Rattus norvegicus: one gene and its partners. The protein of the gene in region 2 interacts with the protein of the main gene of each other region in a biochemical or structural test. Links are inferred from orthologs where the notes say so. Each region holds a gene or a part of one and is shown on either strand. Other genes may lie near its edges.

What was found.
Region 1: the proteins of Hspg2 (region 2) and Kdr form a complex in vitro, tested with the Homo sapiens proteins (2 studies listed by IntAct). The link is inferred for Rattus norvegicus from reciprocal best matches to the Homo sapiens genes HSPG2 and KDR.
Region 3: the proteins of Hspg2 (region 2) and Fbln2 form a complex in vitro, tested with the Homo sapiens proteins (2 studies listed by BioGRID). The link is inferred for Rattus norvegicus from reciprocal best matches to the Homo sapiens genes HSPG2 and FBLN2.

What each region holds. Positions count from the first base shown.
Region 1 is NC_086032.1:32,570,570-32,574,897, reverse strand, and holds the start of Kdr (vascular endothelial growth factor receptor 2 precursor), read right to left. Parts: upstream 2,836-4,328; 5' UTR 2,583-2,835; coding exon 2,516-2,582; intron 1-2,515. UniProt on the Homo sapiens protein: Tyrosine-protein kinase that acts as a cell-surface receptor for VEGFA, VEGFC and VEGFD. Plays an essential role in the regulation of angiogenesis, vascular development, vascular permeability, and embryonic hematopoiesis.
Region 2 is NC_086023.1:155,005,787-155,009,346, reverse strand, and holds part of Hspg2 (basement membrane-specific heparan sulfate proteoglycan core protein precursor), read right to left. Parts: intron 3,319-3,560; coding exon 3,155-3,318; intron 2,838-3,154; coding exon 2,658-2,837; intron 2,548-2,657; coding exon 2,351-2,547; intron 2,244-2,350; coding exon 2,096-2,243; intron 1,358-2,095; coding exon 1,230-1,357; intron 940-1,229; coding exon 853-939; intron 773-852; coding exon 714-772; intron 416-713; coding exon 348-415; intron 1-347. UniProt on the Homo sapiens protein: Integral component of basement membranes. Component of the glomerular basement membrane (GBM), responsible for the fixed negative electrostatic membrane charge, and which provides a barrier which is both size- and charge-selective.
Region 3 is NC_086022.1:125,260,357-125,264,493, reverse strand, and holds the start of Fbln2 (fibulin-2 precursor), read right to left. Parts: upstream 2,836-4,137; 5' UTR 2,758-2,835; intron 1-2,757. UniProt on the Homo sapiens protein: Its binding to fibronectin and some other ligands is calcium dependent. May act as an adapter that mediates the interaction between FBN1 and ELN.

The DNA of each region.
Region 1 (4,328 bases), on a different chromosome or scaffold from region 2:
GGCATTGACAGTGTTGGGCAAATGAGTGAGCGGGAACAAATATGAGGCCACTAATGCAGTATGAGCAAACAGCCAAGGCAAACACCCGGTGCCGTGACACTGTGGCCCTCTGAGAACAAGCAGAGCAGGCCGTTCACTGACTGTAGCGGTTCTCGCACACCTGCACAGATGTGCATAACGGTCTACAGCAATTCCACCCTGAATACACCCAACCTAACCGGATGTACATATGCTGCTGATATAACCGTGGATTTATTCATTAATTAACATTTTTCAAACGCTGGAAATTAAATGGCATTTAATGAATCTCAGAAGTTAGTTGGCATTGTTAATAACTCGTGTGTGGACTGTGAGTCTGAACCTCATGGTGTGTTTATTCCTAGACCAACAAATAGGGGTTTTTAAATGGCATCGAAAGTGACTGTATCACAGGTGCTCTTGGTCCCCCCCACCCCGAGACGGCTACAGAACTGAGCAATTATATTCAATTAACCGGCATAATATTTGTCCATATCAAAGAAGTTACTGTCCCTAACATAGGCATGCAATTAAAATGTTCATAGACAAGCCTTTGAATGATGGAATCTTACTTTGTTTGAGAAGTGGGAGATAAAAACAATTTGTTTGATAAGTAGATTTTAAACATGACTGAGCAGCATTAACCTGAAGACAATCACTGGCTACACTCATGGGGTGAACCCATTATTCAGGCAGATGGGTGAGGAAAATGTGGTAGTAAGCTGCGCCCACTCTACCACCACAGTAAGTGACCTTTATTCTTCAGTGGGGAAGCGAATGCAGAGCCTGAGCGCTCTACCGCTGATCAACACGCTACAGCCACTCAGAGCCGCGCTACTGTCTCTGTCATAACACACAGCCATAGATGCTCTTAGAGGGCAGGCGCATTAGCTCTGCTCATCTGTAAAAGATGCCCCATTCCCGAGACACCAAATACAGCACCATAGTATCCAAGGGATGTGTCTGCAATCAAATCTAGTCAACGAGGTTATCGATAACTGGAGATTTACATCAATGGCTAATGATCCCTCTCCCCCTTATTAAACCTCATTCATTTTCAATGGCAAGTTTGGGTTCTGTTCTTTAGAAAGCTCCTTCTTACTGTAAGAGGTACATATGCTGCTACTCAATAAAAGCCCTTTTATGTTCAAATCCGATAACCAACATTAATTAATTTGTGCACTGTTATCCTTCCCACTCAAAGACCAGAAGGAAAAACAACAGCGGCTCTGTCTCTAGACTCCGATGGCACCAATTATGGTCCAATCCAATTAAGAAAGTCACACACTCCAAAAGGGCAACCTCCGTTTAATTCAGGGAACCAACCAACGGGCTACTGTTAAACTGCTACACTAGGAACACTCCAGGCTTCACAGCAACTCACTTCGCTATGGGACCCAGGGCAAGCACGTGTTCTAGGCTGCCTTTCTCGTCCCAGAAAGCGGGAGAGTGAGGCCTTGTCAGGAACAAATGGGCACCCATGATGGAGTTAGCCTGGTGAACCAAGTCATTATGAGGAAGATTCAATAACTGTAGACAGATGATCCTGGCGCTGTACGTCAGCGCCAGTGCTTTTAAGGCATGCGATTTTCTTCGGATATAAGGAATGTTTCTGCAGAATTGACTTTTTTTTTTTTCTGACTCTCCATTCTCCAATGGATGGAGTCTGGGAAATCTGCAAACTGTGGCTACAAAAAGAAAATGAGAGAGAAATAGAGGAGGAAGAGGATGAGGAGGAGAAGAGGGGAAGGAAAGGAGGGAAGAGAAGGGAAGGGGTTGCACAAAAGCCCAAGAGCGAGTGAGAGCCTAACCTTGAAACACAGGGCATCTTTAAACAGTAAAAATGGCCTATATCTAGGTGCCAAACTAAAGAGTTTCTGAAACTTTCAGAAACTCAGAGTTTACCCCAGGACCAAACACTTTGGAGTAGTAAGTGGAGAGTTACTTTAAGATACCTGGAAAAGCTACCATAGAAGAAGCCGCTTCCTCCTGCCAGCAAAGTGGCATTCTGCACCAAAGAAAGTTGGGTAGGAAAGTGTTGCTCTGTGAAGAGCGCACATAGTGAGCTTACCCGCTGGAGCTAAAGCAGAGCGGAGCGGGAGGCTGGTTCCCTGCTCCACTCAGGGCAGCAAGCAACAGCCTGCGTGCTCGATGCCAGTCAGGCCGCCCGGCTTGCACTGGCTTCCCGGCATTTGACTGCCTGTTCCTGCCAGTGGGAGCATCTCCTGCCCCGGCGCAGGGCGCCTTCCCACTCCCGCCTACCCAGCGCCAGGGGTTGTGGGCTCCGCAGGACACGCTCCAGCCAGAGCCCGGGGGAGATTAGAATCCTGGCTGAGTCATTTCGGAAGAGTCTTTGAACCTCAGTTTCCCGGTTGGTAAGTGAAAGAACACCAAAGGACGGGTCTCTAGAGCTCTCCGAGTTAGGTCCTCTTCTCTGTTATCCCCACTCTCCGCCCGCACCCTGCTCCACCTTACTTCTAAAGAGTGGGCTCCTTACCCACAGAGGCGGCTCGGGTCTCCACGCAGAACCACAGAGCGACAGCTAGCAGCGCCCTGCTCTCCATCCTGCACCTCGCGCTGGGCACAGATGCTTTCTCGGTCCCTGGCCGGCAAAGAAGTCACAGAAGCGGTACGCGCTCCTGCAGTGCAAAACCTGGGAAAGCGCAGGGCACCGGCGCCCTGGCTCCAGCCGCAGCTGCAGCAGTGTCGGCGGACACGGGTCAGCCAGGTTATCCCGGCTGCAGGACACAATCTGGGCTTTCAGTCGTGCGGAGTAGCGTTCCGGGCGATCTAAGGAGACACAGCCTACTCTCTTGGGGTCCTGAGGACTCAGTGCAGAGAGCCAGCGCTGGCTAAACACTAGAGAATGGGGGCGGGGTCATTACCGGGAGGGGTGGGGACTCCCTGCGTCCGGCCACGCCCCTCGCTGGATACCAGGTTTGGGTTTCCCGGTTTCCCACGCCCACTCCCCCACTACCCCGGAACTGTGCCGGGCTGCAAGTCCCATCCGAGAGCAAATCTGGACGCAGCTCGGATTCTGGTGGAAGTAAAATGTAGCCAATAAGGGGCTCTGAGACACTTGCTGCCCCCCAGCAACCCGGGAAGCATCACCAGAAACGCAAGACCGGCTGCGCCCTCATTAGGTGCCTCCAAGTGCAGAACTCTCTTCCCTGCTGCAGCTGAGAGCCCCAAGGGACCAAACCTCCGCTTGCAGGTTGGAGCATGAAGATAGGAACCCTGGACCTAGATGTATCTGGGGCACCAACTTTCAGTGAGTTGGTCAGTACTTGGAAGTTTTGTTTAATGGTGCTCTGGCCAGTGCAGCCATAGTTTTAACTCCCCCGCCCCCCGCCCCTGCCCCCCGCCCCCTTTGAACGCTTTAATTAAAAGATAGGCTCTTATCCAGGTTGCCAATGCCCCTACTGTTTTCTCGTCCATCTGGCAACTTTAGATCTTTTGAAGTTACCTGCCTAGCCCTAGAAGACATTTCGGTTGTGAACTCCTGCCTGGCTTTGTCCAGATAACTGCAGCAGGAGATCCAGGTTGCTGAGGGTGATCAGGGCTCCAGGGCAGCTGCACAGAGAAGAGCGCCTATCCTCCTCCAGTGGCTGCTAGAGTGCTTTCGTCTACCCAGCTCCATGGCCATGGTTCCCTACAGAAACTTTGGCCAGGTTCCTTTCCAAAGCTGACCTTTCAGCCAAGATAGGCTTGGGGGGAGAGAAGGGAGCATTTTCAGGGGTGTCAACTGTGGGAGCAGAAGCGAAAGCGGTCCCTGCGTGAACAGTTTTTTTCAACTGTGTGGCTTTCTTTCCATTCCTTCCACGCCTAGGAAATGACAATAAATACCTTGTAACAACTTTTACTCCTGGCATTTATAATGATAGTTTAAAGGACAGTCTTTCAGCCGGACAAAGGGATAAGATTATTGTCTTTACATCCAACCGAAACTACACCGATGTGCGCCATTAATGAAACACGATGCTTTTCTTTTTTAAAGAAGGGAGATAAACAGTGATTCTCCTTCATCACGAACCTGCCTGAGCCTGAAGTGTGGTGCCAGACGCAGCTGTCGAGCCCAGGAGGCTTTTCAAAATCCAGGTTCACTATAAAAATGTTTCAACACATTTACACATATACACCTATAAGGTGAAATTAAGCTTGAAAAAATATGGGAATGTTTTGTGTGGGCATTTTCCTTTTAGTGGGGACATGCACAGTCTATGCACGTTTCGGTGTGTATACTGGGCTCCTCTTCTCAGGAATGAAAACTCCATTTAAAAGTTGTTTGGCGTCTTCTTTCCCTTTACGGT
Region 2 (3,560 bases):
ATCGAGACTACCTGACTGCAAAACCTGCCCAGTTTTCTCCACTGACATCTGATTCTCCTGCTATTGAAGACACGTCAACATGAGACCTGACAGAGTGGTGCAGGTAAGGGCCAAAACATATACAGCAGTTGCTGCAAGCATGCTGGGAAATTGAACTCAGGGCGACTGACTCCTTAGTCAGTGTTCCTGCCCATGGCCAGGACTTCCTCACGATATAGCCAGGCCTATGGTCTCAGGCAAGGCCAGTGCCCACTCGCCAAGGTATCTGAGAGGCTAGGATCTCTTCCCTGCCCTGACCACAGTAAGGCTGGGCCCAAGGTCTTGGAGGGAGTAGGCAGTACACATACCTTACAGCGGCAGGCTTCTCCTGTGGCACTCAGGCTCCCTCGCTCATCGCAGCGCACGAGTTCCTGGTCTGGAGGCAAGAGGAAAGCATTGGCAGGTTGAGTGGGAATGGGTGGCTCTCCAGGGATTCTGGGAAGTCAGGGAGGAGCCCAGCCCAGCAGGCTACATCAGAACGTGGTCACTGGGGGCTGGAGAGATGGTTCAGCGGTCAGAGGTCCTGAGTTTAATTCCCAGCACCCGCATGGCTCACAGCCATCTGTAATGGGATCTGATGCCATCTTCTGGTGTGTCTGAAGACACGACACTATACTCATATACATAAAATAAATAAATAATTAAAAAAAAAAGAACATGGTTATAATACTCACTGGAGGGTCTGCACTTCCCGCCTGGTTGAATGGGGTTGCCTTCATATCCAGGGGCACAGCTGGGAGAGACGACATTGTCACACCCCAGCCAGGGCATCCTGTCTCCTCCTACCCTTAACTCCTGTCAGCTCCCTTTTACCTCTCACAGCGGCGGCCTGTGTAGCCTGGGGCACAAGCGTCACAAGTGGCTTGGCCATCTGTGTCCAGGAAGCAAGTGTCTGAGAACCTGTGGGGATCAAGTGGTCAAGGTAGAAGAGTAGAACTCAGGGCTGGGCTTGGCATGCTTGCCCCAGGAAGACACACAGAAAGGAATGATGCTATCTCTGGCCACTGTGACCTCATAGCTACTGTGGGCATGGGTCCATTATACAGAAAGGAAAAATGAGGCCCACAAAAGATCAAAGAGCACAGACAACTCAGTGAGCAGGCTAGGACTGGAATCCATGTGGGTACCCAGTTTCCCCAACAGAGAATGTCCCTACTTGCCCCATGCCTATATCCTGAGAGGGCTCTGACCTTTGGGAAGCGTCGATGTATGGACAGGGGCAGGGCCGGCAGGCAGTGGCTGTGGCCTTGGTGGCATCTCCAAAGAAGCCAGGCTTACACTTGTCACACTGAGGTCCTTCTGTGTTGTGCTGGCAATTCTAGAACAGGAGAGGGTAGATAGTGAACCGGGGCCTGCTGAGTAGAACTGGGCCAGACAGACTCTAGAAGTTTCCACAGCTTTGCAAATAGGAGTATCCAGGTGGCTTCCTTGGCAGTAGTAGCCCAGCATGGTGGCCAGTCTCACAGATGGCTCCAAGCACCTTGTGATACGGATCCAAACCTGACACCCTCTTCCAGGCTGCACCCAGGACCGGTTCTATCCTAGAGTCCATTCTGTCTACCTTATAGCTACCTAGGGATCTGAAGACAGTGGCACTACCATGCCTCTCTTTGATCAGCTCCACAATCCTAGCCCTCATCACTCTTCCCACGAGATAAGGTGTAACGCCTAAACCATGCTACCCTTAGCCCTCACTAAGGGAGACAGACCCTCATCTCCCATCTGGACACTGTATCTCTCCATTTTTTTTCTTTTGTTTCAAATGGTTTATTTATGCACATTGGTGTTCTGACTGCATGGATGTCTGTGTGACGGGGTCGGGTCTCCTGGAACTGGAATTATAGACAGTTGCAGACTGCCATGGGGTTGCTTGGGAATTGAACCCAGATCCCTTAGAGGAATAGTCAGTGCTCTTAACCTCCGAGCCTCCTTTCCACCTCTTGTTAATGCATCCAAAGGTCATGGTAGCCATCCAAGCCATTCTAGAAATGATGCAATGTTCGTGGATGCAGCCCCACTCCCATCCAGTGTCCAAGTGGTATCTTGTGCTACTCACCAGACAGTGGCCATAGACAGGGTCACAGGAGCTGGCGTGGCCATTACAATTACAGCCAGAGCAAGTGCCCAGGTAGGGCCCGCCAGGCACGCGGGTGAAGTGGGCATCGCAGCTCTCGCAAGACAATCCAGAATAGCCAATGGGACATCTGTGGGGATAGGACCAAGAGAATGGCTGCAGGAACCACAGACCCTGCTAATTCACCTCTACCCGAGAGAGAGTCCCGTGGTTCACAGTCCCTCTGAGGGTAGGCACCTGCACTCCTCCACACTGTGAGCCCGGCCATGGATGGTGGTATAGGTGACGGTGGTGTCCATGACAATGTCACTCAGCCCCACACTGGTCATCTTGGTGTTATATACTGTCTGCAGCAGGACAGCCTCCAGGCTCGCCAGGGCCTGCAGCATCTCAGCCCGTTGGACAGGCCGGCCAGACTCATGTACCCAGTGTTCCTGGAGAGGACAAGGTTGTTCTGACTATCAGTGCCTGCAAGCAACGTATTATTCTCACCCTGGGCAACCCCTCCCCCTACACCCATCCCCAAGATTCAGGTGCCACCCACCTCTGAGAGCTGGACCTGGCGCTGGTTCAAAGCTCCAGGATGGGTAGGTGTGTGGCCTCGAGAGTGGAGGCGGTACCCGGCACCCACGAGGATCACGTCTGGTTTCTGCACCGGCTCCAGCATGCCTCGTGCCAGCTCATAGCGCACCTTGTAGCGCAGGAAGCCACCATAGGAGTCCACCTGGCCGGGACAGGACAGATCAGGGCAGGGCAGCCATCCTTAGGCAGTTGCATCCTGTTCTTTAGTTCCTCACCTTGCCCACCCACCGGAGGCTCATAGAGAAGGGGGCATGGGGAGATGTCATGGCTGAAAACATGTAATGCTGTACCCAGGGAGGCCAGTGTGCGGCACTCTAGCCAGCCCACAGAACGGTACTCAGGGAAGAACCCAAAGAGGATTGGAAGAGCAGCGGGCTCAGTGCAGCTTCAGGATGAAGGAGAGTTGGGGGGGGGGGCTACTTTAGGATGAGCAGGACTGAGCAGGACCCGCCCTCCTACCTTGTTGCCTAGAAACTGCTTGGGTAGGGCCCAGAAAGCGTCATGGACCAGGAAGCGGCGGGACAGGTCAACCAGCTGGAACTCCTGCAGGGTGGGGTCGATCTGCAGCTGGGTGGAGGAGAGAGGTGGCACCCCAGGCTGCGAGGGCATCGTCACATTCACACCTGCAAGGACAAAAGCAAGGTGAGGATGGCAGCCCATGCTTAGCAGAGAACAGCCAGTCTGAGAGCTGGGACCCAGGAAGGAATGAGTGGGAGAAAACAGAGGCCTCCCTCCTGAAGTCAGGCAGTAGCCAAGCAGAGCTGGGCACGGCACATACCGGTAATCCCAGCACTCCTGGACAACCATGAGTTTAAATTGAAGGCTAGCCTGGGCTACATAGGTCCCTGTCTGGTGGTCAGGGGTC
Region 3 (4,137 bases), on a different chromosome or scaffold from region 2:
TCAGCTGCATAGCAACATGGACAGCATCTGCTTCACCCACCCCCAGCTCCCATGAGTTCTGCATCTGTACCTGGCCAGGACAAAATGCTAGACAGTCATCCCCATCTCTGCCTCCTCACTGCAAGGTCGTGAGCACTGGTAAATGCTAGAAATCTCTACAAAAGAAAAGACTGAGGTCCAAGGAATGGGGTTGGGGCAGAGCAGGGCCCCGCCTCTAGACTACCTCCCTACCAGGAAATATCCAAGGAGCAGCCAGTGAATGGCTGGCCCTCTCCTCCTGTCCCCTGAGCCATGGACAGGCAGCCACATGTCACAGGGGTGCTTAGCATACCTACAATCAGCCACATGCGGAAGATGAGCATGGGAGACCACAGAAATTTCAGCTTAGAATAACACAGTGACCACCATGCCCTAAGCCACCCATCTAGCAGTTGCCTGCAGGAACATGAGCTTAGCTCGTGTGGTATCCTGAGTTCCTCTCTGTGTGGTGTCCTGTTTGCCAAAGCCAGCTAGGGAAATAAGAAAAAATCATTCACAGCCTAGCTTGTAAGGCACAAGGCCAGCAGATGTCCAAGAGGTCACACCTGAGTGGTGCCATGGGTTTACTTTGTGATCTCCACTTGACCACAGGAGTCATAGAAAGGGAGCTGTCATTCTCATCAGACATCAAAGGGCCATGTGGACCAAGCTATGTGTAATCTTATTCCTGAACCCTGGGCTCTGCTCCGTCATGATCTCAAGGAGCAATCTCCATGCCTTAGTCATGGTAGGAGCATTTATTGAGAACCTACTATGTGTCCGCTATGGACAAGACTCAGGAAACGTCACTGACATCCAGGTCTCCATTTCTCAGGATTCAGTGCTGGAAGGGCAGAGAGCATTGTTCTGGGGTGTGAACATGGTCCTTTGCTTGCTGAATTCTTTCTGAGACTCCCTTCTCCATGTCAGTCAGGATATAGCTTCACAGAGTGGCTCTCAGAATAACAAGATGAAAAATGCCATGTGAGGCCTGTCTCAGGTCCAGCAGGCGCTCTCACCTTCCTCCTACGGGGACACCAGGCTATCACCCCCACAGACCAGCACAAAATGTCTGCCCTATCACTAGGACCCTGGTAAGCCTGAGTCTTCGACACTCCCACCTTTGTAGTGACCAAAGTCCTCAACGGTAGGAGGCTTACTTAAGGCATGGCAGAAGTTAGCCTGGGCTCACCCTTGAGAGAGCAATGGATTTAAAGGGTCACAACCAGAACAGATTTCCAAAGGCCAGACAGGAGCCCAGAAGGAAGGCCTGGTAGAGACTTTAACCAAAGGTGCCCCTGGCCCACCCCTAAGGGAGGCAGGCCAGCAGCGCTGGTTGAAGCACACCACAAAGGCATATGAATCCTGAGCTGCCGGAGCTTGAGTTTTTCAAGAAAAGACGGAAATCCGGACTTTTCTGTGAAAGCTGCCAGTTAGTAAATGCTGGCAGCTAATTAAATTTTTAAAAACAATAATAGCATACTGAGAGCCAAGCAAAACACGCAGAGCTAGTCACAGCCAGGGCTGGCGGGACTGTGCCTCCAGTCAGATGCTTTCTACATACTAGATGGAGGGGTGGGCGGGAAGACAAGGGGGTACCACCCTTGGCAACATCTCTCATTCTGCCTTTCCTCGTGGGGGCCCTGCACGCACACACACACACACACACACACACACACACACACACACACACACACACACACATGCTTGGCACCTCCAGAAGGTGAGGTGCAGAGCCCCAGTCATTCCATCACAAATATGCATCAGCTCCATTCAGTGCCAAGCCCAGGAAGCTCACCCGGCCTCCCCTGGGGAGGTCTGGGTTCAGCACCCTCTGAGCAACAAGCCCCTCCAGCACAAATTCCTTTTTGTCTTTCTGACCTGTCATGCAACACCTGCTGGTTCAAACCAACGTCTGACTGGCCCAAGTGCCCATCACCGCAAAGCAGATGGGCAAGATCTCAGGACAGCTGAGGAAGAAGGGATGGCCCCTTGCCTAGGAGGCTGGGGTGAGGGAAGGGAGAAACAAGAGGTGGTGAGGAGCCAAGCCCACCCCTGAAGACTGAGCCCCTCCTGGGCCCCCCAGGCCACTGCGAGAGTGAGCCAAGACTAACATCAGCAGCCACTTTTTTCTCCCTAGGCTGAGGCACCCACTCCTCAGCAGGAGAACCACAGATGCTAGGGACCGTGACACTGTCTGTGCACCTGAATGTGGGGCCCTCTGTGTCTTCAGGTATTGTCCAACACAGGCCTCCTGTGTGGGAGATGCGTGTGAAATAGTGGATGAAGATAAGCGAGGCGTTGAACCAGCCGGCGTTGGTCCAAACTTTCTATGGATGTTGAACGCACGCGTGCTTAACACGGACACATTTGCATGCCTGAAGGATGCCTAATACAGGCAAGTATGTGTAAAAGCACGCACGTGCGGAGGGACATGGGAGAGGTGAGCGTGCATGAGAGATTCTGGACTGGGAGTTGGGGTGGCCTGTGCCTCTGCAGAGCTTGCAGTAACTTCTGCTAGCATGAGTGCATGTGTGGCAGTTTGCGACTGCGGGTGGGGTGGTGCCAGATTGAGAGGCCCAGTCTTCCCTGCTTGAGGGGCGGGGGCGGGGGTGACCCTGGGAGACCCTGAAGGACAAGACTGGGATATGGAAGGCCAGAGAGATGTAGCCAGCGATCAAGAGAAAATGACCGACTTAGAGGGAGCGCGGCGTGGAAACCCAGAGGCTCCATACTCACTCTGTACTCCGTGCTCTGTGTTGAGCTGCGCCGCGGTCAGTCTGTCCTTGCACCCGCCGTCGGTGAATCCAGAGCCCTGGTGGCGCGCGGCGCCGGGTGGAGAAGAGCGGGACAAGCCAGGCCTTGAGACCCCGCCCCACGGGTCCCGCCTTGGGGCGGGGCCTTGGATTGCTAAGACTTCACCCAACCCAAGGCTCAACCCGCCCTGGAGCCTGAGCTCTCCTGTCCTGGTCTCTGAGCCCCCTTTCCACTCCCCCTCTCTAGGCTCTGGCTATACTGAGACTCAGATGTGCCGCCTTTTAGCTTCTCCTCCTAGACCCAGTATCCTGTGATGGCCAGAGGTGCCCAGGCTCAAAGCTGCACAGGGACAGATATACAGAAACTAGGCATAGGCACACTTCCATCTCAGTTCTCCGCAATCTAGATCACCCTGTCTTTTTTTTTTTTTTTCAGCTTAGTTCTGTTGCCTGTACCATGGTGTAGCTTAGCCAATACCCTTGACCTCTGTGGGGAGGGAACTGTGGAGAACCCTGTCATTCACAGCACTGTACCCAAGAGGCAGGAAAAACTCTGTAAGATATAAACTCGAAACATATCATTACTGGGCCCTTGGCTCCCTGCCTGCCAAACGAGGCAGGTATCCTAGTGTCTGGTCACCACTGTCTACTCTCAGCAGGCCCAGGGCCTGTGCATGGTAGAAAGCTGACAATGAGCCTCACTGTCTGACATCCAAGAGTACAAACTACCTCCCATACCTGCCAGAGATGGATGCCCCTACAGCCACTTCCCGTCATCCTAGGAGCAGCTGTGGCCCAAGAGTAAGACCCTGCGGCTCAGAGAACAGGTATGGGGCAGCCAAGAGTAAACAAAAGCACAGAGAAGGGAGGCTATCTGCCCAGGGTTACATAGCTGAAACCAGAAATAGCCAGGGAATCATAGAGGAACCAGGATGGAGACCAGGGATGAATGGAAAAGTCTGACACAGCCTGCCTCCGTGGGCCCTTTCCACAAACCCATCTTTCAGGGCCTTTGTGTGTGCTGCTAACCTCTACCTAAACACCTCTCCCCCATGAGCTTAGGGCTGGCTCATCCTTGCTTTGAGATACAGCTAAAATATCCCCTCTCTGAAACCACAACGCAGAGCCCCTCTATCCTGACACTTGGCTGCGTTCTCTCCCTGGCGACCTTCTTGAGATGGGTTTATAAATGGTCGTTTGTAGCATTACTTCGTAGCAAAGGCTTCTGTCCCCTGTAGTTGTGTGTCCTTGGGCAAGTCACTTCCCTCTGAGTTTTGACTTACTTCCTCAGCTGCAAACTAAACAACAGGCCATCAAAGCCTACATCAGGGGTTGAGCAGAAATCCCAAAGCCCCCAAAAGGG